3 linked regions of the Caenorhabditis elegans genome follow. The protein of the gene in region 1 binds, or shares a complex with, the protein of each later gene. Each region holds a gene or a part of one and is shown in the gene's direction. Other genes may lie near its edges. The genes, in order: sdc-3, sdc-2 and sdc-1.

Evidence for each region.
Region 2: sdc-3 (region 1) and sdc-2 share a complex: the UniProt entries of both Caenorhabditis elegans proteins name them as parts of the SDC complex.
Region 3: sdc-3 (region 1) and sdc-1 share a complex: the UniProt entries of both Caenorhabditis elegans proteins name them as parts of the SDC complex.

What each region holds. Positions count from the first base shown.
Region 1 is NC_003283.11:15,043,331-15,052,667, reverse strand, and holds the start of sdc-3 (Zinc finger protein sdc-3), read left to right. Parts: upstream 1-4,460; 5' UTR 4,461-4,562; intron 4,563-4,866; 5' UTR 4,867-4,876; coding exon 4,877-5,084; intron 5,085-5,617; coding exon 5,618-5,713; intron 5,714-5,760; coding exon 5,761-5,915; intron 5,916-5,969; coding exon 5,970-6,282; intron 6,283-6,459; coding exon 6,460-6,600; intron 6,601-6,922; coding exon 6,923-9,337. Other genes in the region: fbxa-82 (F-box domain-containing protein), read left to right, coding at 193-215, 266-349, 700-1,342, 1,385-1,594. UniProt on the Caenorhabditis elegans protein: Component of the SDC complex that functions in sex determination and in X chromosome dosage compensation specifically in hermaphrodite (XX) animals.
Region 2 is NC_003284.9:11,518,803-11,528,182, forward strand, and holds the start of sdc-2 (Sex determination and dosage compensation protein sdc-2), read left to right. Parts: upstream 1-3,904; 5' UTR 3,905-3,936; coding exon 3,937-5,055; intron 5,056-5,100; coding exon 5,101-5,336; intron 5,337-5,781; coding exon 5,782-6,000; intron 6,001-6,050; coding exon 6,051-6,204; exon of another isoform or gene 6,205-6,262; coding exon 6,263-6,328; exon of another isoform or gene 6,329-6,371; coding exon 6,372-6,922; exon of another isoform or gene 6,923-6,968; coding exon 6,969-7,303; exon of another isoform or gene 7,304-7,349; coding exon 7,350-7,480; exon of another isoform or gene 7,481-7,621; coding exon 7,622-8,812; intron 8,813-8,962; coding exon 8,963-9,040; intron 9,041-9,089; coding exon 9,090-9,380. Other genes in the region: hpo-34 (ZM domain-containing protein), read right to left, coding at 43-143, 188-215. UniProt on the Caenorhabditis elegans protein: Component of the SDC complex that functions in sex determination and in X chromosome dosage compensation specifically in hermaphrodite (XX) animals.
Region 3 is NC_003284.9:16,272,207-16,284,507, forward strand, and holds sdc-1 (C2H2-type domain-containing protein), read left to right. Parts: upstream 1-3,556; 5' UTR 3,557-3,566; coding exon 3,567-3,640; intron 3,641-3,801; coding exon 3,802-4,034; intron 4,035-4,477; coding exon 4,478-4,713; intron 4,714-4,754; coding exon 4,755-5,050; intron 5,051-5,103; coding exon 5,104-5,434; intron 5,435-5,660; coding exon 5,661-5,843; intron 5,844-6,031; coding exon 6,032-6,270; intron 6,271-6,427; coding exon 6,428-6,813; intron 6,814-6,945; coding exon 6,946-7,079; intron 7,080-7,821; coding exon 7,822-7,884; intron 7,885-7,982; coding exon 7,983-8,222; intron 8,223-8,450; coding exon 8,451-9,326; intron 9,327-9,724; coding exon 9,725-9,857; intron 9,858-9,906; coding exon 9,907-10,094; 3' UTR 10,095-10,328; downstream 10,329-12,301. Other genes in the region: F52E10.2 (ACT domain-containing protein), read right to left, coding at 10,600-10,669, 10,717-10,820, 10,875-10,997. UniProt on the Caenorhabditis elegans protein: Embryonic transcription factor regulating downstream genes involved specifically in the sex determination and dosage compensation pathways, or regulating other genes involved in the coordinate control of both processes.

The sequences.
Region 1 (9,337 bases):
TGTAACAGTTACTACAATATATGAAAATGTTTAATGTCTGAGTGTTCCCTGAAACTTTTAATTTTCCACTGCAAACATATTGTGACACATTTTGAAATAGGCAAGCATGCTCTTATCAGTGATTTCATTTTTTTTTTCCGAATTACACTCATTTTAGTTTTTATTGAATAATATTACAATTTCCCTAATAAAATGTCAACATCAATTGATGAACTGTAAGTACTGTTTTCCAAATTCTAATTTTCCAAAACTCCAAAAAACTTAGGTCAAAAACCGCTTCACCATCTTTCTCCGAGTTGCCAATTGAACTGGTAGGTGAAGTTTTGAACAAGTTGGATCCAATTGACAGGTAAGATTCTTGCGTTGTTAAGCTTTTTCTGTCTTAAAAGTGTAATAGCACCGGTAGGAAATGGTAAAATACAACTCGTTTGGTGCCAAAATGATTGAATTTTTTTTACAGTCAAAAAGTGACTTGATCTTTTTCGAGAAAAAAATCATACAAAACTTAGAAATTTTTTTTTGGAATTTTTTACTCTGATATTTGACCATTGTGGTGCGACAGGCATGTTTTAAAACAATTTCCCCACTGGTCCCCCTCCACATTTAAATGTTTTTACTCAAACAAAAATTCACCGAATAATTGTGCCTGTTTTCAAAATTTCAGCAAGGTGTACGCTTAAATACTCAAAGTTTTTCCAGACTTATTGCCTGGAAAGTTTCGTCCAAATTTCAAAAGATCCTTATGGTCATGGAACCTGGTTTCAAAGAAATCAAAGTCGATTTCATTGAAAGAAATGTGCACCTAATTCTCGATGGCAATGTTTTACAGTACAAACCCACAAAAACTGGATGCATTGTCAAACGAAATAATCATTTTTCTTCACTAAAAAATCATGATTATATCGAAACTGCCATCAGAGATCTCAGGCTAATTTTCAAACGCCCGAAGCTCGAACTGCACTTATTTAGTGTAATCATAGAAATTCTTTATAAAAAGGAAGAACGAGATCGTCTATATATGTTTTTAACGGAGCTTATGAGAAGAGTGGAACCAATCAATACAAAAACAATAAGCTTTACTCGTATGCATTGTGAAGAAATGAAATCCATTTTGTCATTGTTGAATGCAAACAATATTGAGAAAATTGAGTTGAATTTTCATCATGGAATACTTTTGGAAAATTATCTTGCACAGTTGGAACAGTGGAAAAATGCCAAAGAATTGTGTGCCAGTGCTGTTTTTGCAGGCTTTTACACCTCAATTGAGAACTTATTCAATTTTCGAAAATTTGAAATCAATCTGGAGACTTTTACTGTAGCGGATGCTGTTAAAATTAAAAATGTAAGTTTATTCATATAACAAGTAGTCTAAAACTTGTTTCAGATCCTTCTTAATTCTGCCAACTTCAACTACTGCAAAATCGAATATTCTATGCAATTTGTGGCACATCGATTCGAAGTTGCAAGGCTTTTTCAACCAAGCAACACAAATGGAAATTTGGATTATTTTGCTTACAAATGCTCTGGAGGGAATTATATCATATTCCTTGATGATTACCATCTTGAGATTCAAAGAGAAAATGATGAAAGCTAGAAATCAAATTTGTTGAAAAATTTTTTATTTGTTGCTTTTGTAGAATAAAAAAAAATAGGTGAAGAGTAGTCTAGATTTGGAAACAAAAATTATGAACTTAACAGCAAATAAGCTTCCGTCGTGTTTTTCTATAATATTTTAATTATATAAGAAACAGTTTTTTAATAAAAACAATCAAGCGCATTGTATATCCACTGAAAAAACTTTGTTGTAGGACCCGGATTTTTTGGTTTCTAGAGTTTTGAGGGACAAAAGGCGTTATGTTCAAGTTTTTACAAAAACTCTTAGGCTGGGTTTTTGAACAAAATAGAACTTTTTCAAGTAAACAATACTTAGCTCTATATTCAAATAACGAGATCAACTTTCATAAAAATAAAGTTCAAACTCAAAAGTCAAAGACTCGCATGAAAAATGGAACGGTAGTCATACTCTGGCTATCATGTCCGTGCGGCGCACACAAACTTTTTCCGCCTCTTACACCGTATTCATCACCTCCTTTGAAGATGATCTTTGCCGTAGTGGTGTCTCACAGGATCTCGCAACGTAAACTGATATCTTATGAGGGAAGAACAAATAAGTGTAGAGAGGGGCAAAAGACATACAGTAGCTAGATCTGGACATGAAGAAAATGAGCATTGTGTAAAGAGCATGGTTTAAGAAAAAGTGAAACGCGTAAAAACTTGAAGATGACGGTTTGACGATGGTTCGAAATGTGAACATTCAAGAAGTTCACAATTCCATTGTATGCAAAACGTGTTGAAATTTGATTTTTTTTAAATTATAAATGTGAAGTTTTCATCGAAAACTTCCTCTTTCGAATAAAATTAAAAAAAAAAGAATTATTGAAAAAGTGATAGAACTGATGAGTAGTGATATACGCCAGCTCTTCCCAACTAACGAAAATTTTCATTATTTGTCATTTTTTAAGATTAGAAATTTTGTAATATTTTCGTTTTGACGCCGATTCCAAAAGGTCATTATAAAGTATCTAGAGACACAACCTTTGCTCTAAACAGCAATACCAAGCGCCCCAGTCCTCCGCACCTGATCTCTGCAAGTGGTACGACAGATCCACAAGCAAATCGGGAGGGGCCATCCAATCTCGGAGTACCTGTCACCCGGAACGGTTAAAAGCTAGCCTCCGGCCCAAAACAAGGCGAATCGACGCCAGAATTGCGACTTTCAACTGCAGGTCTGTCTCCTCCAACGACAGGCTTGCAGAACTGCTCGAAGAGACGAAGAGAATCAAGTTCGATATTATCGGACTCTCTGAAACAAAAAGAGCAACGGAAAAGCATGCAATTGGCGCCGACGGGGTCGAGATCTTTCTAGGATCTCGAAACCCAAATTCTGTTTCAGGAGGGGTCGGCTTCATCGTCACAAGCACCTCCTCCCCCGAATCACTGAAGTAGTTTTCTCCAAAGTAACATCCATTTCAACATTAATTTGGCGAAACTAGATCAAGTGAAAAGGAGAAAACCCCCGAAAAGAGTTTTGGATAAAGCTACAGCTCTGGCTGTCAGCGCAACAATTACTGCCCCTGCTCATGGAGATATTGATGAGGACTACAAGATCCTTGTCGACTCTCTCAAAACAGCCCAGGATCAATCAGTAATTCAACCATCCATCCACTCCGCCAACCGACTCTCGGAGGAAACTCGACAAATGCTCTTCAAAAGACGTCTTATGGACAGATCAGACCCAAATTTTAAGTAACTATCTATAAAATGTAGGGAAGCAGTCGAGAGAGACCATGAGAACTTTGCCAGTGCCCGCCTGCTAAAAAAAACTGAGTGACAACTGGGTGACAACTGAGTGATTTTTTTGAATCCTTATACTAGAAGGCCGAAGTAGCTAATAATTGAATGCTTTTATACACTCACGGTTCACTATAAGTCACGCATATAAAACTTACAAAAAATCGTAAATTGACAAAATAAGTCAATAGTAAATTATTTGCCGACCTAATATTACATTTCAAAATGTTGGCAAGTAACATCTCGGGTATTACACTCTCGTGGGAATCTCCAAAATGTTTCCATAGTTACTCACTCCATTACACTTTCAAAAAATCATAAACTGAACCAACTCTTCTCTCTCCACTTGCTCACACGCATGAATGTTTAGTTTTCAGAAGAAAGGTCAGGTCACTTGCCATCCAGATACGGTGGATTTTTAACAGCTCGCGCGTCCGTATGCTAGTCTTACATCTATCGATTCGTATATGCATATTTTTGTGTTAATTAGTTTTGTCAGGTTTTTCAAAACTGACTCTTGTGACAATTAGTTTCTGTTTCCATAGTTACTCACTCGTTAAACTTTCCAGAAATCATAACCCATAAAATATGACAAGTTATGTTAATTTTCTCTGTGGGTCTCGTCCTGATATCTAGCAGATTTCATCATTTGAAGCAATTAAAAATCTAAAATTTCTGATTTGATTAACACTTATTTTTCTTGAGCCAGAACTCAAAAACGGGATTTTATTTAAAAATTTGACTTTTTGCAATCTTTTAAAAATGGACATTTTCAAGAAACTTTCCAAGAAATTTTCAATTTTTGGCCTCTGATTTGAAAGTATGTAGAGACTTTTTTCTTCTGCTCAATTTTTTTTCTAGTTACCATAACCCTATTTTGAAATCAGTTATCTAAAACACTAGATGCACCCATGTGTTGTCCTCTTCTCTTTCCTCTTCATGTGTCTTTCCATCTCTACGTCTCAATCTCTAACACACTCTCTCCATCTCCCCCTCTCGAGATGTTGCGAACTACGCTAGTTGCCTTATAATTTTGAATGTGAGATTTTCCCGCGCTCATTTTGATTAATTCTTTTTTTATTTGCTTTCAAGATTAAATTCAATTTCAGAGAAAAAAAACAAGAGCCACTGGTAAATGAGAAGTTTTGGTTTCCGGGGATCCCGATTCCCAAATCACATTTAATCACTTCCTCTGCATATTTATTCAAAAAGTGAGTTTTTATGTTTTAAAATATTGTGAATAATTTTTATCAAAATTAAAATATAATACTTGAAGTGAAAAAAAACGGAAAAATATTATTTAAATGTGAAATAAAAATCTTGAAAGTAAAAATTCGAAAAGTTCTGAAATTTTCAAATTTTATCGCTCATTTCTAGTCATATCAAAACGTTATCAACTACAAAAAATTAGACAATAATATTATACAATTTTTTTAGTTGAAACTTTTTGATATCTTGTGAAACAAGCGAGACATAAGCTGTCAAAGTTTAAAAATCTTAAAATTTAATTTTCAGAGCATTAGAAATGTCTGACGAACCACCAATAGTGCTCCCAACTGAAGAAGATGGCCCATTCTCCAACTGTGTATCGATTGCATTTGTCAATGACAAGAGCATACCCGTGGAGCTACGAATTCGAAAAGCTATTCGTGGAAAAGTCACGTTCACTCAGGAACTTGTAGTCGCTGCACGTAGATTGTACCTGGATGGAGAGTTAGAAAGACCTGATCTCAGTGAGTTTATTTTTGTTGAAAAAAACTGATAGAAACAAAATAGAAATAGCATTCGATTCTACAAAAGCTGAATGAAAATATACATAAAATATTAAATTATTTTACACCTAATTTTTTTTTGAAAAAGTCGTCAACTGAAGTCATTTTTTAACACAAATAATATTCAAAAATATTCATTAAAACCGCAACAAGAAAACGCACTCTAGGAAAGCGACAGAAAAGGCAATTAAAATCCCTCGCCCAGATGGAAGCTGTTAAATAATTATCTCAAAATATGCAAATTTTTTGGTAAACATTTACATATTTTTCATTTTTAAAATTTCAAATAAAGTGTTTTTAATGGTTTAAAGTTGAAATTCCAATTTTTTAAATGTAAAATGTCAACTAAAAAAGACATTAAAATCCAAAAAATACATAAAAATATATAGAAAATGTGTTAATATTATGACAACTAATTGGAATCGTGCGAGGGCGAGTAAAGGGGCGATTACGATGCAACATGCATCATACATTCTAAATTTAATTTATTTCAGACTACCACGTTGCCGCCGACTTCTATGATCCATTTATGATCCCGGTACCAGATCACCGTAATTGGGAGTATAACCCTTTATATCCTCGGGAGTGGCGTAAGCTCAATATTTCTTTGGTTCTCCCTAGAAAAATAAATTTTCAGCTAGACTAATTGATAGAGATCTCGTCCAAAAGATCAAGATGTCCAATACGTACAAAAAGAACCAGGCGAGAAGGAAAAGACGACGACTATTAAGAATCTTCCATAGGAAACGAGGTGGAGAGTTTTTGAACTATTTATGGCATTCGAAGGAGAATGTGAGTTAACTTTTTTTTTAACTAAAAAATTTGAAAAACCTCTTAATCTTCCAGGACGTGCACTACAAACGGTATATGGCCGCCTATCAATTTCCTCTTCCATTCGAGAAATGTATCAGGGATGTAGTGAGAGAAGAGCTTAAAGATCCCGAAACATCATTTTCTAAACCACCATCAGTGGTACATCATTCGAAGATTCGACCAGCCACGCCTGATTTGTTAAAGTTGGCGAAATATCTTGGAAAGGATCGGTTTTGCTTTATTGTGACACCATTTAAATTTCGATCTCAATTCCGTTTACGTTACTACAAGAAATCTCCATTCAAACGTTCAAATATTCTTGAGAAATGGTTAAAGTTCAAAAAAGGTAAGGTTCTGATTTTTGCTTATTAATTAACTTTATCAAATTTTGTAAAATATCACACTTATAGTTAGCATGTTTTTCTTTCAATAATTTCAAATACTGTGAAAAACAAATTTCAATGCTGTAAAAATATGTTGCTCCCCAAAGTAAACTTGAGATCTAACTTCATACATGTTTTAGTGAGAGATCAAGGTGTGTTCAACATTCGAGATGCCGCTCGTGAAGTGAAGAAGCTACTTCAAAGGAAAAACGTCTACCATATGACAGACCCGCAATGTGAGCAGGAGTTCTGGGATGTATACAGACTTCAAATGCAATGGCGTAAGTTTTTGAGCACTTTTTAAAATTACGGCCTGTTTAGAGATTAAAAAATTTTGTGAATATATTATTCAATTTCAAATTTTTTCTTTTTCCCATTCTATTTCGCGGTTTCGGTATCAAACTTATTATAAGAGTGTTTAGGAATAGGCAACGATTTTAGAAACTTTCTGGAACAATTTAATTTTCTGAAAAATTTAAAATTAAAACAATTTCTGGAAAAACTACCCGGATTTGTTTGTCAAAGTTTTGGTAAATTGACAAAACTTCCCATTGACACAGCACCATGTTCAAAACTTTTAATAAAAAGTTATAATATTTTAAGTGGAAGAAGACAACATCGAGGAAAACATCACGATGCTTCGAGAAAATTTATCAAAAGTGACAGACGAGGAATTCAATAGATCCGTGTATATTATGAGACCAGAGAATCGAGCATCTATCCACGACGACGTCACATTCACCACCGATGCCGAAATCAATCTGAAGCCAATTGTTCTGGAACTTTTTCGAAATAATATGCCACTCGAAGATATCAGACAGGTTAAGGAATGTATTGACGACATGATTAACTTGACTGTCTGCCAAGAACTTATACCTCAAGTTGCTACAATTGAGACTGTTCGTGATTATTCTGGAGTTGAACAACATCGTTTAAAGTATATTCGCCCAGAAAATGAGCTGGAGATAATGTTCCAATTAGCTACCGTTCTTGTAAAAAACGAGAATACTCATGATCAAGAAATCACTTCTCCAATGTTTGCACTGCTTCGAACAGAACAATATTTGTGGTCAATTCCACTTCGACCATTTCTTCGAATGTACACTGACTGGAGGAAAACTAAACTTAATTTCAAAAAGTTTAGAAAATTCTCCCCGGAATTAGTCTCCAAAGCACCAATTGACTTATTCAAAGTGTTCCTCACAACTAATATGGATAAGAAAGGAGTTGCCACAAAAGACACGGACTGCTTTGATTACAGGACAGCATCTGAAATAAAGAAGCTTTACCATGAAGAGTTTATCAGAGTCCGACCAATTATAGAACATCAGCGTTTTCACAGATGTTACACCTCTGTAATTACCGAAGAGCCATTACCAAATCCATTCTATTGGGTACATAGGGGCCAATGGGAAAAAGTTTATGAATGTAATTGGAAGCAACGGGTTAAACCGCTAGCAGGTAGATTTTCATGGAAGACTAAACACCCGAATATTTGTGATCTACCACGACTGGAGAAGGATGATAAACAGGAAATGGAGATGTTGGCTAAGATGAGAGAGAAGATTCGAGAGTATAATAAAGAGAAAGAGAAACATCCTTTCTACGTTTCTTCCAGTCTTCCCGAGTTCGCAAGCACATCTGACTTTGTGAAATTTCCCATTTCAAACACAGGAATAAAATATACTGCACCTAGAAGAAACCAGCCAAAAGTTCAACGTTCACTTGTGACTTACACAAGGTTTCGCCTCGCGGAGTTGGAAGACAAGGATTTCTCATTCCCAGAAGAGAAGATGCTTGAGAAGAATCGGCTTTTGGAAAAATTGAACTTTGAAGAGCGACTGCAACTTGATGCATTGATGTCGAAAGATGTGAAGTACAAGCCTCGAATGATCCCCGAGAAGGGATTTCTGCAGTTGCAAGATGAAAAGTTGATTCTAAAAAGATTATGTGAAAAGGAAGATGAATGGTCTGGAAAGCAGAAAAGACGATTCCCAGATCTATACGAGCAAGCAACTCAAGAAGCGGAGCGTCTAGGTGACCCTGATGCAAGTACCAGCGGTACCAGCAACAAGGAACTCGGCCTTCTTCCTGTCTGGAAGCACGACGATTTTCGTGATTTGAAAAAAATCAATGTTCTAGGATCCAAAGAGTATCCCATCAGTAGCCCTTATCTTATCAAGAGATTGCACTATGACATTCACCTGGAAATAGTCAGAGATAAACTCAAGTCATGGATATACAGAACGGAATTATGGGAGAAGATGAAGCCCGTCTACGAACGATTGAAAAGGGATAAGGAAAAGCGTGAGAAAGAGTGGCATGAGATGAGAGCTGCACAAAGGGCACAGAAAGAGAAAGAGGAAGAAGATCAGCGTCGCATGGATATGGGTATAGAGCATGGTCAGGAAAGTTTATTGAAAAGCATTACCCCAGAAGTGGAGCAACAAATACTACTCCCCATATCCAGAGAAAATAGTTTTGAAGAAATGCTTCCAGCTCCGCAAGAAGCATATGATGAAGATCTTGATCAAGATATAGACATTCATTTCGACGGTGCTGAATCAGTATGTACTGGAATTCGTCTTGACTCGGAAGATCGTGAGCTTGTGGACTCTCCTGATCAAGTTGAGAATGAGGAGCCAGAGAGAGTTGAAGCAGTAACTGAGAATATTCGACAAGAAATGTCGGACGCAGAAATGAGAGATCTGATGAGGAAGAAACGAGAACAATACTCTATGCTTTTCCCAAATGTACCACAGCCATTCCAACCGTTGAATCGATTTGACGTGACGGCTCCCGGAGCAGGAATCGTTCCCCCGTATGATGAAGCACCCGATTTTGATCTGTCCGCTTACTTGGAAGAGGATCATGTGAGGATTCCAACATTGTCGACAGTAGAGATAAATTCACTTTTAAAAGATCAGGATTTAGTTGAGGAGCAAGAAATAGTTGAAGAAGAAGAAACACCACTTGTTGTGGAAGAGCCTGATATTCCTGCGGCTCCTGTTCTATCGG
Region 2 (9,380 bases), on another chromosome or scaffold:
ATAACTAATATCAACAAAATAACTGTTCAAAAATTTTCTTACTTGGTGAAAAACAGTGTGAGATTCTTGATGATGCTCCATGATGGTAGTTGTTTGTCCAACAGCAGGAAGCGTGACAGCAGAAAAGACTTGGTCCATCAAACCTTTTTAAAACTGGAATTGGGAAATGTGTTAATGTCATACTTACTATCACTGGCATTCCTAGTCTCCATCATTTTTTCTTCGGTTCTTTTTTCCAATCCACGAACAATAGGTAACCTAAAATAGCTGAGAATTAAATTTGAAAAGGTTGTTAGATCATTATTATTATTATTATTGTTGCGAAAAAAAGTAAAACGCGAAGATTGGTTTCAAAAAGCAGTCGGGCTCTTAACTCTGCTACAAACGGCAAACACGGCGCCGATGATAACTGCCATTTGATGTAAGATGATAAACCACGACGACAAGGGGAAAGTGAGGGTAGAGAACAATTTCGAAACGACCGGTATGATAGTATGTGACACGCAGCACACTTTTTGGAGCACGTTTAATTTTGATAAACGCAGAGAAATTTATAAATGATTCTTTGCCGGACACATTACATGATAGCATAATAATTTTTTGTGACTTATTGGGGGACTTCCATTTAGACACGCTTAGAACATGAGAACATATTTTAATGTCAGAAAAGGAAACATAAGTTCAAAATTAAACTAAAATTATGGGAGAGAAATGGGTCTATATTCCAACTGAATTCCATGCTGTTTGAAGCAAGCGTTTTATAGTTTTTTAACCTGTCAGTGTTCCAGTTGGGAGGTAACAAGCATTGCACTTGCAGTGGAAATTATAGCAGATGATATTTGCTAAAGTGACAAAGAGAAAAAGAATGTCGATGTTTTTAATGTTTACAGTCTGCCAGTACCCGAAAATATTTGCTCTGAAAGGACGTTAAGTCATCTGAACGAATACAGTTTTTTTCATACATCTGAATTTATTTCAAGACACAAGAAAACATCTTATTAAATGCTCAATTACAAATATGATGAAATCCTACATTTTAGTTAAACGCACATTCTAATTTTGATAAACACTATATTTCCCGAGAAAACGACAATGACAAATTAAAGATAAAAATTTAATTTTAAATCAAAAACTTATCCAAAATGTTTCTGTTAGTGTGATATGTTTTATTTGACTGGAAACTGAAGCTTGACTAACAAAATTGTCATGTTGAGACAAGTAAAAGTTTTCTATACATTTAAAATTATATAATTATTTAGATATCATTTGTAATTTGTATAACACATTATTACATTGCAAAACTAGTAAGTAAGAATTTTTAAGAGTTGCAAAAAATAATCAGACACAAAATGATACATTTTTAAAGTTACAATTCCAAACAGTGAAAAACGCAGAAACGGACTATGACTTTGTGATGCCATACCCAAAAAATTCGAGAATTGGATATAATGGATATGTTTGAAAAATAATGTTCAAATCTTCGAATATCCTACCGAATTTGAGTTATAACGAAAATTAATGTTTTGTTGGTCGGCATCGAACTTTTCCTTGCAATCCTGTGAACACTCGGGAAATTAGTTTTTCGTGCCATAATAGAATACGGCTGAAATTGGTTTAATAAAACATTAATGGCAAATTTTTCAACATATCATTTATTTTTTGTTTCAGATACAGTTAAACATATTTACTGATTTTTATTTTCGGGCCATTTTTATTTTTCTACAGTCTGCGTTTCATCTAATAGTTCCATAATCTGTCCATTTCTACAGCAACATGCACAATTTTTGTTCAACTGTGAATAAAAATAGAGGAAACAAATCTTTCGTCAATCTCTATGCTTGGTTGTATAATCTTCGTGCGCTGACAATGTTGCCATGGAAATTTATCTTTCTCCGTCTCTCTTGAAAAAATAATGTTTTAAGCCAAAAGTGTTTTTAAATAATTAATTAAAATCATCTATGAAACCAAAAACAGGTCTTTCAACTCTTAAGATGGTCGTCTTTATCAAAAAAGTGTCTGGAAATGGCAATGTGTATTTGGTATTTGTAAGTAAAACGCCAACCGTAGGAAAAGGGTTTAAATCATTTCCTGATAGTTCTGAAATATTTGAATATCACAAAAAAAGTAGAACAAGCTGAAATTGTTACTAATTTGGATATTGGAAAAAAGTTTTCACGATTTTGTAATTTTTTTTAGCATGGCACAAAAATTTTATAACTTTCGAAAAAATGGAGCTCCTAGTGCTCCTAGTGTAGCATTTACACATTATTGGCAATTTTTAACGGAAACCTCGAAAGGCAAAAAAAACTATTACAAATTGAAGCATTTTCAATATGGATGTTTTTCTTTTGAAATGGTTTAGAAGGCAGCTTTCACAATTTTCAAAAATTTAAGGCATTTCGGTTATAATAATGTGTTGTTCACATAATGTCTCTGGCGCATCTCTACTTGTAAGATCTATTAGTTTTGTATCACTGATAGCCCTGCACTCAAAACGACCCATAAAAATAGTATTGCATGAAAGTTATATTATTATTAAAATGCACTACTTAAACTGTTTTACTTATAGTTTGATTTTAAAAAATTCCTGCTGTTGGAACATGGTCTTTGAACAACCTATTATTAAAAAATATAACATATATTCGATGGATCAGTTAAAATTGTTCAAAATTATTTGTTACACATACCCATTATGTATTCCCATTGATAGTATGCATCTTCCATTTCTCCCGTCAACATAATTGTTCATAAATTTTTCTAAATATCGACTCATGCACAGTTTCTACGCGACTCAACCCCGTTTTGTATGACGTAAAAATCATCGATTGTCCAGCCGGCTGTTTAGATGACCGTTGGTCATCACTGCATAGCGCAACGCAAAACGGCAGAGGTCAGAGCTGCGGTAACGACGCGCTGTTCACGGCATTATAGAATTTGGCACATTCGAAGATGAAGACAATCTGCAGTTATTGTACATATACTTATTAATTTGACTTTTCCTCTTATCGGATTAGATGCCTGAGCCCTTTCGATAATTATACCTAAATCACTTGTTTATTCTGTACCTTACTTTAGTTTCATTTTTATTAATATTGATGTTATTTTGCGTAGGAGTTTTTGCTGAATGTTTGTATGAAACTTCTTTCAACATATGTGTGATATTTTCCTTTTTTCCTCTAGCTTCACACTTTTACTTTCGAATCGAAAGTATACGACATTTGTACAAGGTTAAACTTTACGCAGAGTTTCTTATCAGAATTGCGCGTGACATTGACGTTTATACAAAGCTAGAAAAACTTTAGTTAAATTATTTATCCTAAACATATTTTAAATTTATTTTATCCATATAACTTTAAACGCAGCCTCCGCTTTCTTATTGAGTCTCCATGCCCCTGTCACAGTTGTGTATCCTTGTTCTCTCTACTCTCTCGTTTTCCACACAGGTTCAGTCGATGTCTCTTGGGTCTTCTCCTTTTTTCCCACTCATTCCTATCTATCGTTTCTTTGCGCTCTCCACCATGGCTCTCTCCATCCAGTTCGCAACATATTAAACAGAAAATGGAGACTTAGAGAAAACAGGACTGGTGAAACCAAGACAAAGTAGGGAATAGTTCACAAAGGTTAAGGCATTTGAATTCTAAATTACCAATAAGTATCAATTTTTGTTTTTGACTACTTTTCTAGATTCTGTTATTTTAGGCTTCAATCTCTTCATTATTTTCAAAAAAATTTTTTTTCAATCTCTTCACTATTTTCAAAATTAATTCTTTCAAAACTTTTTTTTTGTTGAAAAAATTCAAAAAGCTTACCATAACACATTTAATTTTAATTTTATTTTTCTGCGACAGCCCGTTGTCTAAAAATTTTTTCAAGAACCTTTCGTTATTTTCACTAATATATTATTTTTCAGAATCGTGATTTTCTCTTCCGGTACTTATGAGTGATGAATCAGAACTAGGAAATCAAAGTGAAATGGAGTCATTCAACGAGTCCGATTCTCCAGATGAAGCTGATCCAGACGTTGTTATCATCCATGACATAGTTCATCTACGTGCAAGTACTACAGGCGACTATAGTCAATCAGAAATTGGGAAACTTCCCGAGCAAAACACGTTTTTCTTACCTGGAAGAGTTAAACGCAACATTTCATCAAACGACTCTGATGTCATTATTGACGAGGATGAGATACCAGACGGAGCAATCAGAATTACTTCAGATACTCATTTCATTGGATCAAGTAGAGGTACTAGTGAACTCGGAGATTTCGAGATGGATGAACAGGAATTTTTGAATATAACAATAGAAGAAAATGGAAACGAACAGGAATTAGAAGAACACTTGCGCAACGCATACCGTCATGAAGAAGAAGAGTGTTTTGAAGAAGAAGACGATATAATTGAACTTCCTCCTCTACCTGTAAAGCCAGCTGTAAAGAAACCTCGAAGAAAACTGCCAAAACATCTGAGTATAGAGAGTGGATCCACCGCAAAAACATCAAAACTGGTAGCAGAAGTTGTTCACGATCACCCAAGACCTGTCAATTATCGCATGAAGCCAGCTGTAACTGATGATGGTAAAGTAGTTGAACAGAAACGGACTCGAGTGACACGTAACATTATGTCACACACAATTCCGCAGTATCATTTGGAAGGTGAAGAAACTGAGTTTGGAAGAGTGAAAGAATCTACTTTATCAAAAACGATCGAACAGTATCTCCAAGCTGGCAAACTTGTTTCCCCAAAGTGCGACCAGTTTCGTGAACAAATTGTAGCAACTGCGGTTGAATACGATGGATCTGTGAAAATGTTGCAGTTTGAAAATGCATTGAAGAAACATTCCGGCAAGCAAAAACGCCTAAAATATCAAACCGGGTGGTGGAAAGCTTCTAAGAGTCATTACGAGAGAGCAGTGAACGGTTATGTTGCAATGCCAAAAACCCCAGTATTATCAATTTCTGATGATCCAGTTCTCTACAAACACCATTCACTATTTCCCAAGAACCAATCTTCAGAACTTGAAAAAATTAATGTTCAACTGCGTATTCGTTTAAACTCGGTAAGTAGTCAATTATTTATCTGAACATCTCAATTCTTATTACAGAAACGGCAAAACAATGATGTTATCCCCGACTCATCTTATTTTGTCAGAGAGTTCCTCATGCAGAAGCATTCAATTTCGCTTCGTATGAACCGTTCATCGGATCTTCCTGAACTCTTCGTCCCTCCAACTTTGGAATGTGGATATTTTCCACAAGATGCCGTTACAGTTCAACAGCAAGAGCACTACTTGATGATGCGTTTTGAAGAAGCTCAAGACGAATATCATAATATAACCTAGTAAGTTGAGCTTCTAAAAATATAGTTTTTATTTGAACAAGACGAGAACAAAATTATTCGAACATTTGAATTGAGACTGATAAATAACTGAAACACACACAAATGTAGCTTTAAGCTGCAATTTTTTTTACATTTTCTATGGCAACGCGTGGCTTCTTTCTCTTTAATTTTGTTTCTATTCTGAAACCGTTTAAAGATGAAGTACGCTCAGTTGAGAAATTATGAACACCTTTTCTATGGTAGTTAAAAATCCAAATATCATAAAACCTTCTAAAAAATTTTGGAAATTTATTTATTTCGAGTCGGAAAGTGATGAAAACTGAGTTTGCGACAAGTTTTAAAAACTCTAAAGCGCTATCGCTTGCTCAAAGTTTTATAAATATTGTTTTCATCTAAAAACAATCAGAAATATCATCAGAAATATATTTATAAAATTTATTTTCAGCCGCAGCATCGCCCCTCCCGTTGAATTTCAAGTTGGAACAATATCGGCTAAAGAGCTTCACAAATTTCATCGTATTGGCCGTCATATTCATGGATTCTTTGTAGTCTGGGAGAATAAGTTTCCTGAATATGATGAAAGTGGAATATGCTGTCCGAGAAAACGTTATTTGGTCGATATGTTTAATTTAATATGTTTCCCACTTTACACGGAATACGAACAGTAAGTTTTTTGAATCAAAGTTTTGTACGTTTAAATTTGAAATTTTGCAGGTGGGAAAGTAGACTAAGAGTCGCATTTGACAAGACCATTGTTTATAATCTACATCTTTCTGAGATACTTCGATGCAATCGCCCGGTTTTCGATTTTCTTTCAAAGAACAAATCAATGCTCCAACCAATCACTCTAAAAGAAATTGTTTATCTTGTAAGTTTTAAAAGTTACAAATTGCAATTTTTATTATAAAAAGTGTGTTCCATTTCAGATCGAGCAGTCAAACATGGATGCAAAATCTTTTGCTGTAAAGTTTGGATTACGGACCTTTTACGATGTAAGCCACAAACGTCAAACTGTACCTTATTATTTTCTTTCAGCACGGTCGAGCAACCAGTAATAAAGACTATCTATCAGCTTTTCTAATTATTACCGGTGGAGCAAAAGTCGTCACAGAAGAAATCGATTCTGAGCGTCTAAGAGTTTTCAATTCGGATTACATGGAATCGGGAGTTCTGACGTCATCGGGAGATGTGTACACATTTGAATTTGACAAAATACCAAACAACTATCAAATTTCCATTGGTTGCAATGCTGATGGAGTGGCTGAAATGGAACAAGAAGATGTCAGGCATGAGCTATCAGAATGTTCTTCTAGAATAACCAGAATAATTGGTGATTCAAAAAAACCAGAAAAAATTATTGCAAGGCCCCTGGTAAAAACAAACCAAAATGACGGAATGAAGTTCTTTACACGGAAAGATTTACTTAATTACCGCATTAAACTGTACGATCCAAGTTACGTTGTTCCACGTGCGAAAAAACAAATTGTCAACGAGCCTGCAAAGAAAAAGCCTGGAAGAAAATCGAAGACAAGATATGATGCAGCAATGCAACAAAACAATTTCGAAATTGAGGGTGTACCTTCCGAGTATGTTTATCCATTGCTCAAAAATTGCCTTATGAAATTTTTTCAGCGTCGACTCCGAATTTGAAGGATATTTAAGTGACAGTGAAAACGTATTCCAGAAGCCGTCAAAGTTAATGCGATCAACGTCATCTGATTCAGTTTTCATTGACTACCAGTACCGTGAAAAAATGTTCCTTGATGTTTCATGGTTCCATCAACAAAAAATGATTGATCGCTCTCTACCGCCACTCAAAAAGAGGAAAAGAAAGATGAATAGAATATACCATAAACATTCCGTTCGATACACAATGTTACAAGCAAACGGCTGCGCGTTTACAGAAATGTACAGATGCTATGATAAAATATTGCCGTGTGGAACTAAGGAAATTGCGCGAACCAAAAGTGAGATTGACTTGTTTGAAATAATCAATAACTAATAATTTTGCAGATGCAATTCGCTTCCCTCACAGATTCCGAACCTACAATATTCCACAAGTCTATGGGCCAGGGGACAAACAACTGATTACCGAAGTATTTGGTGTTGTGAAAGATGTTATCACCCGTGCTACAGGTTTTGAGGTAAGATACTTTTGTTTTCTTTAAATGCGTGATAAGAAAGGTAAGGAATTTTGTTTTAATTAGTAAATTAAAATCTAAAAGTCAAATACGTCATAGGCAAAACGTTGTTAATACATATCAACTGAATAAGTATTCTTTCAGAGTGCAAGCATACGGACCGCCAATGACATTGCACAAGCTGTATATGACGCTAATATTGCTCGCCGAGAACTACTGGAGAACCTTGAGCCTAGTGATAACGGTATTCTTCCTAGCCCAGCGTACTTGGCGATCGAGATGCTTTCACATCAGAAAATGTCGGGACGACTCTGTTTGGAATCAGCAAGGAAAGATGTGCAGAATAATGTTGATAAAATGTACAACGACTACATGGATTTGGATCCTCTTGATAAGGAACTTCATTTTGAAATTTCACAAAGCATTCGCCAGAGTAAATTAAATGAAAGTTTAGAGGAATACGAGAGAAATAGGGAAAGACAACTGGCCAAGACGTTGAAAACAGTTCCTATGGACAAAAGAAGTCAGGCAGCATTGGCCAGACGAGAAGAAAAACGAAGAGAATCAAGAAGAAAACTTGCCGATAAATATGCCGAACAGAGAAGAATGATGGCTAGCACCAGAAGGCTTGAAAAAAGGACGACTCAAAAACAAGTTGACCCCGAAACAATTCAGCGGTTGCGGCGTGAAGATGAAGTAAGAAAAAGGAAGCGTTTTGAAGAGGAAGATAGAAGAGGTATGATACGACGACGTGAGGAACGTGTTGCATTGCAGGAAAAAGTGGACAGAATGTTAGAAGAAGGTTTACGCCTCGAGAAGGTACGTGAAGCCGAAAGAATTCGACAGCAACAAGAAGAAGAGAGGATCGAAATGGAGACTATTCTTATTTCTCGAAGAGTGAGGGAAGAAGAGGAGGAAAAAATGCGGTTGGAAAGATTGCGTAAAGCTGAACGAGAACGTGAACAGGAGCGTTTGAAGCGAGAAGAAGAGGAAGAACGGAAACGTTTGGAACAACTCCGAGAAGCTGAAAAATTGAAAGCAGAAATTGAGAAAGAAAATGAAAGAAAACTACAAGAAGAACGTACCAGAAAAGCACTTGAGTTGGAAAGAAAAATCGAAGAAATTAAACGAGTATCGACGCTCAAAGATATGTTTGGGCCGCTGCCCATTGCCAAAGAGAATGAGCAAACCGAAAAAGATTTCCAAATACTCCTAGACGACCACGAGCTTACACTTCTAACAATTTCTAGAGATCCACTAAATGAAAAGTACCAAGAAGCACGAACCGAATTCGAACGCCTAGATATCAAATCGATGCTACTGAGAAAAGCCGAGGTATGGAAATAATTTGATACTTAGTTTCTTGCAAAAAAGTAATGAAATCATTCAGCATTTGCGTTTAAAAAATGATTTAGTATATTTTGATACGCTTATTTCGGGTGCGCAGTCGCTGTAGTAATATAATTTTAAATTCGTATATTACAGAAACTGATTGACGTACTCACTATCCATTACGATGTGCCAATTGAACAAACATGCAGATATTTCACATCATCCATTGAAGTGGGTTTTTTTGAAAATCTGATTCTAAAAAGTTTTTCGTAATTTTCAGAGCAATGAGAACCGGATGGCCGTAAACGAGCAACTGAATAAACTCTTCGAAAACATGGCTAATTGTTTCACATTCAACATTCAAGATGGTGAAAATGGTCTTCAGTCCAAGCGAAAGTGGGATTTCCAATTCAAAAAGTGCGCAGTTTTTGACGGCGTTTCACAATCCACTGTAAACTTCATTGAAGAGAAAATGCGAGAGAACACTAAGAAAAAGCATCTTGCAACACCAAAAACTGTTATATCAATTGATACTAGTTTGCTGAAGCAAAGTCTTCTTCGTAGTCATGCA
Region 3 (12,301 bases), on another chromosome or scaffold:
TCTTGAAATTGATGAATAGCGAAATTATAATAACTGTTAAATTAGTATCTGGTACTGCAATGAAGCATATCTTCAGAAAAGGTAAAATAAAGATTATACTTCAGATTTCCATATGAAACATTGATATTTTAATTGTTGAAATAAGAGTCAAAAACCAACGGCAGTTTTTCATCTCCGTTGTGGTCTAGTGGTTAGGATTTATGGCTCTATTATGGAATATATTTTTTACTTTTGTTTTGATTTAATAAAAGTAAGTTTTGTCTTCAAAAATAAAATGTTTTCTGTTCAAGAAAATACGGAAACCCCCGTTTTTCAACACCGGTTTTTATCAAATTCCCATTTTCAAACAGTCCGTTAGCGAAAGTGACTCGGTCGATTTTCAAAATTTTTCACTTTTTTGTGTCTCCATGAATAGATCTTTAAGGTTTGATCAAAAAATTCAAGTTACTAACAGCCAGTTTTAAAATTCACCTCAAACCGAGGTAATTAAACCAACTCGAGTGGTGCGCTGGCTGCGTTTGCGTGCAAAACATAGTGGTCCACGCTAGCCCAGATTTTGTCGGCAGCACATTTCGCATATATCCGCGCTCTCACAAGTCCTCCTTAAAGGAGTAAGACTACTAATATGTTCTTACGTAGTGGATGGAGCTTTCCTTTTGTATATATTTATGCACTGCTCCCCACTACTAAATTTTGGATGGTTCATCGAAAGATGCGCCAAAAATAGATACAAATAAACAAAAGGAAGTCCTGTTTCAATGCTTTATTGAAAAATTCAGTGATTCTTTTTGTAATTCAAAGAAAAGATTTTCTTTGATTTTGTGTTTTTTTTTCAAAATTTTTCACTCTCCCCATGAATAGATCTTTAAGGTTTAATCAAAAAATTCGAGTTACTGACGGTCAGTTTTAAAATTCACCTCAAACCGAGGTAATTAAACCGACTCGAGTGGTGCGCTGACTGCTATTGCGTGCAAAGCATACTGGCCCACGCTAGCCCAGATTTTGTCGGCGGCGCATTTTGCATATGTCCGCGCTCTCACAAGTCTTCCTTAAAGGAGTAAGACTGCTAATATGTTCTTACGTAGTGGATGGAGCTTCCCTTTTGTATATATTTATGTACTGCTCCCCACTACTAAATTTTGGATGGCTCATCGAAAGATGCGCCAAAAATAGCTACAAATAAACAAAAGGAAGTCCTGTTTCAATGCTTTATTGAAACATTTAGTGATTTTTTTTGTAATTCGAAGAAAACATTTTCTTTGATTTTGAGTGTTTCCCAATTAATTGGAAAAATTAACCCTTTCACGGACGTGTCTTTATTTTTCGTAAATTTAGTTTCTTTTTCTCTAAAAAACCACCACCTATGGAAAAAATAAGTTTAGTTTACTCGGGTTTTTCCGTCCATTTTTCCTTATTTTTTTCCTCACGGGGAGGCAAAAAAAAGGAAAACTTTGAAAAATCACGTTTGAGAAATTTCCATTGTGGATAAGTATACAAGGATGGAACACTGATATCTTCAATTTCAAAATAAAAGTCATGAACTAATGGCAGTTTCTCTTCTCCGTTGTGGTCTAGTAGTTAGGATTTATGGCTCTCACCCATAAGGCCGGGGTTCGATTCCCCGCAACGGAATATATTTTTTGTTTTTGTTTCTGATTTAATAAAATTAATTCTGTCTTCAAAAATAAAATGATTCTGCTGTTCAAGAAATACGAATACCCCCGTTCCTTAACACCGATTTTCATCAAATTCCCATTTTTAAACGGTTCGTCCGCGAAAGTGACTTGGTCGGTTTTCAAATATTTTCACTTTTTTATGTCCCCATGAATAGATCTTTAAGGTTTAACCGAAAAAATTGAGTTACTGGCAGCCAATTGCAAAATTTACCTCAAACCGAGGTAATTAAACCGACTCGAGTGGTGCGCTGACTGCTTTTGCGTGCAAAGCATACTGGCCCACGCTAGCCCAAATTTTGTCGGCAGCACATTTCGCATATATCCGCACTCTCACATCTTATTTTTTAAGTAATAAGGGTACTAATATGCTCTTACGTAGTGAATGGAGATTTCCTTTTGTACATAATTATGCACTGCTCCCCACTACTAAATTTTGGATGGCTCATCAAGAGATGGGCCAAAAATAATTTCAAACTCACTGAAAGTGTCTTTTCTCTATTGAGGAACACAGTATGTTGTTATTAATAAATTTGCTCACATTCTCCGAAATAAATGTGAATTTGTTTGCTTCTGTTCTTCGAAATAAAGATCAATATATAATGAGTGCTTATCACCTCCGTTGTTGTCTAGTGGTTAGGATTTATGGCTCTCACCCATAAGGCCGGGGTTCGATTCCCCGCAACAAATTTTGTATGGCTAATCGAGGGCCAAAAATAACTTCCGATTAACTGAAAGTGTCTCTTTAGGATTTGTAAAATTTTAATGTGAGTTTTTCGAAATTCAAAAGAGAACAATTTTCTAAATCAGTTGAAGGAGGACTAACGGTTCGGACAATTTTGAACGTATAGACTCAAAATGAGCTCAAATAAACGAATTTCGTAATGAAGCTTCTCAAAAAAAATTCCAAAATTTTGAACCGCCATAAAAAAGTTTTGAAAATTTTTTGAGCAGTTTCATTACAAAACTCGTTCATTTGAGCTTATTTTGGGTCCATACGTTCAAAATCATCCGAACCGTTAGTCCTCCTTTAAGGACATATCTCTATTTTAAAATTATTTATCATGTTTCTCATTAAAATCAATATGTTTTTGGGAAAAGTTCAATTTTTAAAGTCACCGAAAAATGAAAACGAACATAATTTTGGAGCCACATATGATATATGGGTCTTCGAAAAACTTTCTGTTTTAGAGTTCCTATTTTTGAACAAGAACCCATTTTGAGGTACACAGTATGCTGTAAATGTTAATTTTGCTTACATTCTCCGAAATAGATGTGAATTTGTTTTCTTCTGTTTTTTGAAATAAAAATCAATATATAATTACCGCTATATGACCGCCATAAATAGTTTTGTAAAATCATTAATAAAAATTTCATTACCAAATTTGTTCCTTTCAACAAGTATTGATTTTATACGTTCAGAATACCCCGAGATTTCCCGTTAGTCATTGTTTCATTTATTCCAGAGTTGACCTGATTGAACGCACGCAACGCACTTTTTCTCTCTCGCCACACTTTGGAAGTGAGAGACGCAGCAAGAGATGTCTTCTCTGCCGTGCAGTGTTGTCGTGAAAAGGACGACAGAAAAAAGAGTGTGTGGAGGTGAGAGGGTGGGAGGGGTGTGAGACGGTTGTCCGTAAACACTCGCGCAAAAACGCGGGAAAATTTTTCTGGAGGAGGCCGTGCTGCACAGGTAAAAACCTTTTTAATTCGATCAAAACAATTTTATAAATTTGTTCGATTGGATTTTTCACGGAGATTTTTCCGCGGTGCTTTTATTTTTTTTTTGATTTGCTGTTATTGTTTGAACTGACTTCTAAATTTTGATCTCTTTTACTTTTCGATTCTATTTCCCTTAAATGACAATTATAACTTTGGAACATTTTCAGCAGTATGTCGGATGAAGAAGATATAGATGAAAGCTTTGAAATCGAAGAGGACGGAATTTCAATCACAGATGCCAGAGGGTAAGTTGTTGTTGTTTTTTTTTTTTTTTTTTTTATTTCCTTGGTGGCTTGTCCCAATGTCCAGTAGGAAAAAAGGACATGTATCATTATAAAACTGTTTAAAAATTTTCACATTTCCAAAGCTTTCCAAGCCCTAATTAATCCAACAAATTCTTGTTTAGAAACAGTCTGAAAGCGCAACAAATTGCTGGTAAAGAACGAAATTTGGATCCAGAAGCCGATGATTTGGAGGTAGTCGTCAATTTCTACGAAGCAGGCGACGGAACATTCCAACTACAACTGCCCAAACTAACAGCTGTGAAACCAGTGGATAAAGTCAATGATGTACTGGACTTTATCAATTTTGACAAGAAAGTATGCGATGGAATCCATTCATCAATCAAATTAGTTTCACGTAAGTTTAACTGCATGGTAACTAGAATTAATTCGTATTGTTGGTTGCGGGACAGTAGTAGATTTTTGCCAAAACCAAAAATTAATTTAACCGGGTTGAAACATTTTTGAAAAATATTTTTACAAAGTTTCCAGATGTTGAGAATTGAAAAATTTACCTACGATTTTTTTTTCACAAAACCTACGATTTAAAATAATTTTTTTTAAAGCTATTTGGAGTTAGGGTGTCTCATTTCAGTGTGATCTACTTAAATCTACACACAATGCGGGAGTTGAAACGCAGAGTTCTCAACCAATTTTGCATAGTTAAGAACGTGTTGACGTCACACTTTTTGGACAAAAAATTCCCGTATTTTTTTTAGATCAAACCGTGATGGGGCAGCTTGACACTACGTGTATACATAAAATCCATTATTGGGCCTTACTTTACTATATAATTTTCAGAACGAGATCAGACGGGACCAGCACCGTTTCCGAAGCATAAGCTGACGTGCGCCCATTGCGACTGGTCGTTCGACAATGTGATGAAGCTTGTCCGTCACCGAGGTGTTCACAAGAATGTGGGAGTCTACATGTGTCAAGTGTGCCTCACACTGTTTGGACACACCTATAATCTGTTTATGCATTGGCGGACATCGTGTAGCCAGACATCGACAACTGCCACGGATATCGAGATACAAGTAAGCACAAGTTGGTATTTTGAAACTAATGAATCCCCAAGCTCCAGAAAGCAGAAACGCCGTACCTTCATCGCAATGTGCTCAATGTTTTGGGCTCACTGAACCGAGCGTCGCAATACTACTGCACTGGTGGTTATGTATTTCTGCCGTCGGATTGGTGCATCACAAATAAGGAAATTGTTATGGAAAAGGATCATATGTCGTCGTGTCATTTATGTCACCTGCCTGTACCAAATAAATTTCTCGAAGCTCACGGAAATGTGCATCGGGGGCGATTTCGAATCGATGGACGTATCTACGGCGACTACTTTTGTCATATTTGTGGAACAGTTTTCATGTAGGTTTTTCGACATTTTTTTTCAAAAAATTGAAAGAACACTGAAATTTCAGAGAACAAGATAATCTATTCAAGCATTGGCGTTTGCATTGTGAAGAGGTTATTGCCTACACACCAGTCGACCAATATCTATCAAATACGGAGCTCGCCACACTCGCTTGGCTCGTCCTTCAAACGACAATCTCACAAGCCGATATTGAATGCTTGAGGGTCAGCTCGTCGCTGATCACTGAAAAATTGGCAAAAGAGCACGCGGAGAGACACGGAATCGCCAATAGTATGCACAAGTATTATCACTTTCCACAGGAGATTTGGCCCCTCAAAACGTTTGTCAATTTGGATTTGGTTAATGATGCGATTCCGATTTCAGGAGAAAATTCATTTGTGAGCACTTTTTTTCCATTTTACTTTGAGATTTGTATTATTTTCTAGCAAAACATTATTGGCGGGTCGTTTTAGAACCTATTTTGGAGGCAGGTAGGCACGTTTTCAGGGCCTACCGAAAATAGCAGATTCTGAGCTACGTTGTACATACCTACTTGCCTACTTTCCTTTCTGCCTACCAAAATTTTTATATTTTTTTTCACTGAAATTCAATCTTTTTTTTCAGAAGATAAAAGATCCCAAACGCCCAGTGCACATAATGAACTTGCTCGCTACGGCGTGTCCGGGCTTTTACGCAACAGGAAAGACGTTCAACATGATTTGCAGTACGAAAAAATCGGAATCAGACACGAAAAAGGTGTATCGCGTCATATTGAGATATACGACAGAGGGATCCGTTATTCAATCGGTAATTTGATTTGTGCTTTTTTTCGAAAAATTTTTTTCAGATTTTTCAGCACTTTTAGCTAGACGTTTGGGTATTAGCCAGTTTTAAGAAACTTAGCAATGATCAAACTTTTAATTCAAAATTTTGAATAATGAGAAATTTATTGGAAAGCTTTATGATAATCCAAATTCACTTTTTTTTTCTTCCAGTACGATTTCACGGCTCGCTCATTCCCCAAACTCCGCGTGGACTCGGAAACGCCAGAAGGTGTTTTTAGCCATCCGCTGGCCGATTTCAATGTGGAATCGAACGAGGCGATCGTGTGTCACAAGTGTGATAGTAAAAAGTTGACAATCACGTTCTCGACGGAAGTACGGTTGAAGTATCATCTGCTTCGACATTCGGAGTCACGAAAAGACGGTTATCATTGTGCGATTTGCAAGATTATGTGAGTTTGTATTGAATAAAACAATGTTGATTAGTTTGAGAGTGAGAATTGGATTTTAAAAATCTTCACAATTTTTCTTTATTTTTTGACCACTTCCGAATTGGCTAAGTAATTCCAACAGACGGTAAACGTTTGCATAAATGAAAGTTAATTTCAGAGTATACAATCGTAGTCATGAGGAGCACTGGATCAATGATTGTATTCCGCTCCAGAAATTGTATAGAGATCAAAAGGACCGAGAGTGCTTCGACGCAGAATTTGCTGCAAAATGTGCGAGCATCATAAAAAAGCTCAGAATACGAACATTGATTCGATGGAAGGAACGAGCGAACGAGGACTGGGTGGAGACGAAGCAGACGCCTGATCGTATCGGAGAAGATTTTGCTATAAAATTCCAAGTTGGTACCACTGCTCTGAAGACGCTGATGGCCGGGCTCGAGGAGCATTATAAAAATGCTCAGGCTAGACATGAGGCGTATAAGTACAGCGAGGAAAACTTTTTGCCGCCACTTTCGACGCCGGTCGTTGTATGCTTTCATTGTGGTAAGTGGCTCACCGTAATAGGAATGAAGAAAAATACAAAAAAAAGTTATTCGATCTTTTTTGTGAAAATCTGAAAGTTTAATTCTCTTCCTCTCTCTCTTTTTTAGTTTCTCCTCAAAACACCTTTTTCAGGCACCCGCTGTCATTATACGCTACTTCACGACCACCTTGATTATTGCCACTATTGGCCGCGTAACAAACGATTAGTCAATGAAGAATTTCATAAATGGAAGAAGAACGGCTGTCGAAATACGTGGCGAGTTATGGTAAGGGAGATTATTTGTGTTCTAGATATTATTAATTTTAATGAATTTAATGAAAATGATTGAAAACAATTTTTTAAAGTGGTGGGAGAAAGGTGTATGCATTTTTTTGGTTTTGCCACAGCTTTTAATTTTTCAATTATGTGCATATGTTTGAAGGCGGTTAATATTCAAAACAGGGGTGGGCGGCAATTGCCGTTCTGCAAATTGATTTGCCGACAAATTCTGCAAATCGGCAAATTACCGGTTTTCCGATTTGCCGGAAATTTTTAATTCCGGCGATTTTCCAGTTTGCCGATTTGCAGGAAATTCTTATTTTTGCCAAATTGCCGGTTTGCCGTTTGCCGGATATCAGATTTGCCGGAAATGTTTAGAGGGATTTTTCATAAGACGGAAACACTTAAAACTGTCTTTTCGAAAATTTTTCCGTTTTTTCTATACATTTTCATAGAATTTGCTTACTTTTCAAAATAAATGTAAGAAGATCATAGGATGCGTTTAATTTTGCCATTTGAAATTGAAATTCTGAAATTTCCGAAAGAATAAGTGCGAAACCACAGTTTGCCAAAATTTTTTCGCAAATTCGACAAATCGGCAATTTGCCGATTTGCCGACGTGCCGGAAGTTTCAATTCCGGCAATTTTCCGGCGTGCCGATTTGCCGGAAAAAATTGTTTGCCGCACACCCCTGATTCAAAAGCTTAGCTCTTTTTTTGGTTAACAAACTTAAATATATATTTTTTCAGAAAAGTGTAGCTGAAGCAATGCAAATTGAAGTGCCGTTCATATCTGAGGAGCAATACTCAAAGGTACAGTTTTTGGGGAATAATTTATCAGTATAATGAACAGAAAATAAAAAAAATAGCAAAAAATTCTGAGGTTCATATTTTTCAATGATCATTTCCAGATACTCGACTACCACACCTACTTTTGCAACGACACACGCTACAAGGTTCAGGACTCAATCAACAATTGGAACGATTGCTCAACAATTCGAGACGTTGATTTGTCCGAAAAACTTTCAGTTGCTGAAATTGTGCAAAAGGGCGAGGACTCAGTGATGGCTCCAGAACCTGATATAATCAAAAATGTTTACTTTCCGTCTGCTCGTATTATTACAGATAATATGCTGTTGCGAATGACAGAGGTATAGAATTTTTTGATCATTTTTTAAAATAGTTTTTTTTAGATAGACGATACGATTTTAAATATTTTTCTAGTAACAATTGGTAAATTCTGAGATTATAGCGGAATTAAACCTTTTTTTTTAAATTTCCTAAGAAACTTTTTAAGAAGGCACACTATGAAATTTACCTATTTGGTGCCTATCTGAGTAAAATGAAACCAAAAAAATATATACATATACACATTTCAGATAAACTTGAATGATGTCGTGCAGCGAGACCCAATCACCAAAGAGGAACTAACGGGAAAATTCAAGGAAGTTCAAGACGAGCAAGACGCGATTCTGTTTGGTGACTACCGTGCTGTTTTGCGATCGAAGGGTATTATGGTCAATTCGATTTCGGATTTTGTTGCTCCTCCAGATGAGCTTGCGAAAGCAAAAGCATCCCAGGAGTCTGCTGGTCAAGAAAGTGTGGATCATAGGAATCGAAGGGAACGAGAATTTATTCAACAGTATATGGGTAAAGATCTGGCACTCGAGGCGGCCGCCCGCGAAAATGGGAGACTCGTCGAGGTTGACGAAGAGGCGGAAGATTATGAACTGACTCCGAAGGAGCTCAACGCTCGAAGACTCGTCGAACGGAATCGTCACCGAGAGATGTGCAAAACGAGGTGTGAGCATGGCGAGTATGACTATGAAAAGTTCAAGGCGAGGCAAGTGCCCATTAATCCGGCAAAAATGAAGGAGCGGAAATATCTGACTCGTGTGGTACACGAGAGCGGCCCGGATGATGATGTGTGCCCAGATGAGCCGGAGAATAACATCATCGCGTTCTCACCAAAATATGAAAATTCGCTCAGCGACTTTCGCATAAGTGCAATTGGTTTCCGCGAAAAGTATTTGGCGGACGATAAAAAGAAGAGAAATGGAATTCCGATTCGAAAAATGACTGAGGCTCAGAAAGGTGTTGCGCTAGACTACGATACGTTGATGGCGCGACACGGAGGTCGTCCCGACGTGATAATGAACCCGGCCGGAACTGTTTTTGTGGGAGGATTTGTGTTCGATCGGAAACCGACGTGCCAGGATAACATGCAGACTGTTTATGTTCTTCGTAATGGCTATGTGAGTTTGAAAAGTTTAAGTAATGTTGATTTTGTTCCCCGGTTTTTTGAGACAAAATTTGACTGTCACGAGGGACAGGCAGAGAAGTATAATAGAGAAGTGAAGAAAAGCGGAATATTGAGCCTCGATATAAGACAGTCCCTCCTAACCACGTGGTGTCAGACTGCTCCGTTGCGGTTTGACCTACAAAAAATGCGGGAACGTTTTGCCCAAAAAATGTGACGTCAGCACGTTCTGAACCATGCGAGATCAGTTGAGCCCAACTGTGCTTCTCTACTCCCGCATTTTTTGTAGATCTGCGTAGATCAATCCGAAGTGAGACGCTCTGACACCTCGTGCCTAACTATGTAGTTCTGAATTTTGTGAACATTTAGATTTTTCACACAATTTTTTTTCAGGCACACCGGTACCGAATTTATCACTGCGAAGACACGAATGGCATTTACAAATTTGTTTGGCCGCAGGAGCAAAGTTTTGACCCCGATTCGCTTGCAAAAAGTGCTCGAGTCAGAATGGTCAAGCAAGTCAAATGTATGTAATTTGTTAGAAATTCACCTTTTTTAATTTAACATTTGTACAGCACCTGAACACATGATCCATCACATTGAAGAAATTGATGAGTCTATTGGACATAATTACCGACTGAATAGAAAACGGCGAAACTCGGAAACACGTGAACACGAGCTCATTGAACTCGATACGGACGACCTGAATGAGCCGAGTACTAGTGATGGAAGATATAGTTTTGGGCATCACGGATATCGTTGACATGATTGTATTACGAAATATTTAATTTGAATCTCAACTCCTTTCTACGATCTTTTTTCTTTTACGTGTGGAAAAATATCATAAAATTTGATCTTTCATTAAAAACTCTATTTTTCTTTTTAAAACTCAAGCTATAAACATTATTTTTCATTTTGAGTTCCTAAAAACTTTTTTTGAATTTTTCAATTATTTTTGAAATTAAGCTTGAAAATCATGATTATGAATCAAGAAAAAAAGTATAGCACAGGGTTTGTGAGTCTGTGGCGCCGCTTGATGCGTGTCTTATTGTATAATTAGTACTAAACGTGGTGAGTGGATATTTCAGGGAACATTTTTGTACAACTAACTCATTGCTCTTAGAGTTTCAATAAAGTTAAGAATCTGCCGGAAAACTTACACAGTTTACTTTTTTATTGTGAATCCTTCCAAAAAATCAAGTAAAGCACTTGAAAAAAGCAGAAGCAGAATCAATTGAGCAGGCAGGAAAACACTTATCATAAATTTCTTAATGATAAGAGTCCACAAGCATTCCTATGTTGGTAACGTTGACTTTCCAATTGCTAAGTTCGACATGGCTGGAAATCAAATTTTTGTAAATGTAGATTGCCTAAAAGTAGCTTACTTTTCTGTTACGGGAACCTTCTTGATAATTCTTTGGACTTTCCGAATGGTGTTGTTTAGACTGGAGCAGTTGTGGGTTATAAACATAGTGATGTCATAATAGTCCTGGAGCAGTTTAAAATAATTTTTTATAAAATGATATTTATTTTGGAGACCTACGCTGAAAATACCATCTCCGTCTTCTTCGCCTTTAAGATCGAAATCGGACTCCTGTTCGCTAGTACAACGGGCATCTTTGTAATCTAGTACATCTTTTTTGCTGAAAAAGGCAATTAGAAACATGTGGAGAATATGTGTTGGTAACTTGCTCAGAGTGAATATTAAAAAGTATGTGGCTTTAGTCTTTCAGAAACAGTAAATGTATTTTTATTTAAAACCAAAGTTGTAATGTTTCTTCTGAGTTTTAAATTGTTGCAGTTGGCCAAATTGGCCAATTTTATCGAAAAAAATTCGGTATTTTGGAAAAGGCTCGACCAAACTATTCTTAAAATTTTTAAGTTTTTAATTCCACTCACAACAAGTAGTCAGGGTCATGAAAGACATATTTTCAAATTCTGCTGGTGGAAATTCGTTTTCAGTAGGGCGTATTTAAACAGTCAAACCCTCAGAAAATAGGCGGAGCCGAGTTTTTAGATCTCCTAGATATTTCGTGGCATTTCAAAGCAGCCAGTTGAAAAAAATGGATACCTCTATTTTTCACCCGTTTCTCTCAAAGATTTCTCAGATAAATATATATTGAAGAATGTGAAATGTAAAAGTTGATGAATGTTTTTGAGAACCTACCGAAGTCTTTTTTTGAAATGGCCGGAAGAAAAGACATTTGTCAACGAGAGCTCATCAATTACGTCTTATGTGTGCAGGAGATTAAGAAAAATCTGCACATGCCTCTCTATCCCTCAAAAATGTGGCTCCGGGGGGTGTTCAAAACTTTTTTAAAGTACCGTCAAGTGAGAGGTCATAGTTGATAACATAACTTCTCACATTTTCAGAGTTCTTTTTTTTTATGTAACATTTTTATAGCACCTGAACAAGGGGTCCATCATACTGAAGAGCCTGATGAACGATATTTTTTATGTTACGTGCTAAAAATATCACTAAAAAAAAAAAATCTTCTACTAAAAACTAATATTTTTAAATTCAAGTTATAAGCATTGTTTCTCATTTTAATTTCCTAAAAACTTTCTTTATGTCGTTCTAATTTGAAAAAGAGAAAAAATGTTTTCAAAAACACATTAAAAATAGGCACTTATTTATTTTTGTCCAGATGTTGGTATAATAAGGGAATGTGAAAGTTCACAATACAAACGCTTCACGTTACAAGTACAGAAACGTTGAAAATGTGGAAAGCCGCTCACATGTTTTCTCAATGTTATTTATTTACAAATCAAGCAAAAAAATATATTCCGTTGCGGGGAATCGAACCCCGGCCTTATGGGTGAGAGCCATAAATCCTAACCACTAGACCACAACGGAGAAGAGAAACTGCCATTAGTTCATGACTTTTATTTTGAAATTGAAGATATCAGTGTTCCATCCTTGTATACTTATCCACAATGGAAATTTCTCAAACGTGATTTTTCAAAGTT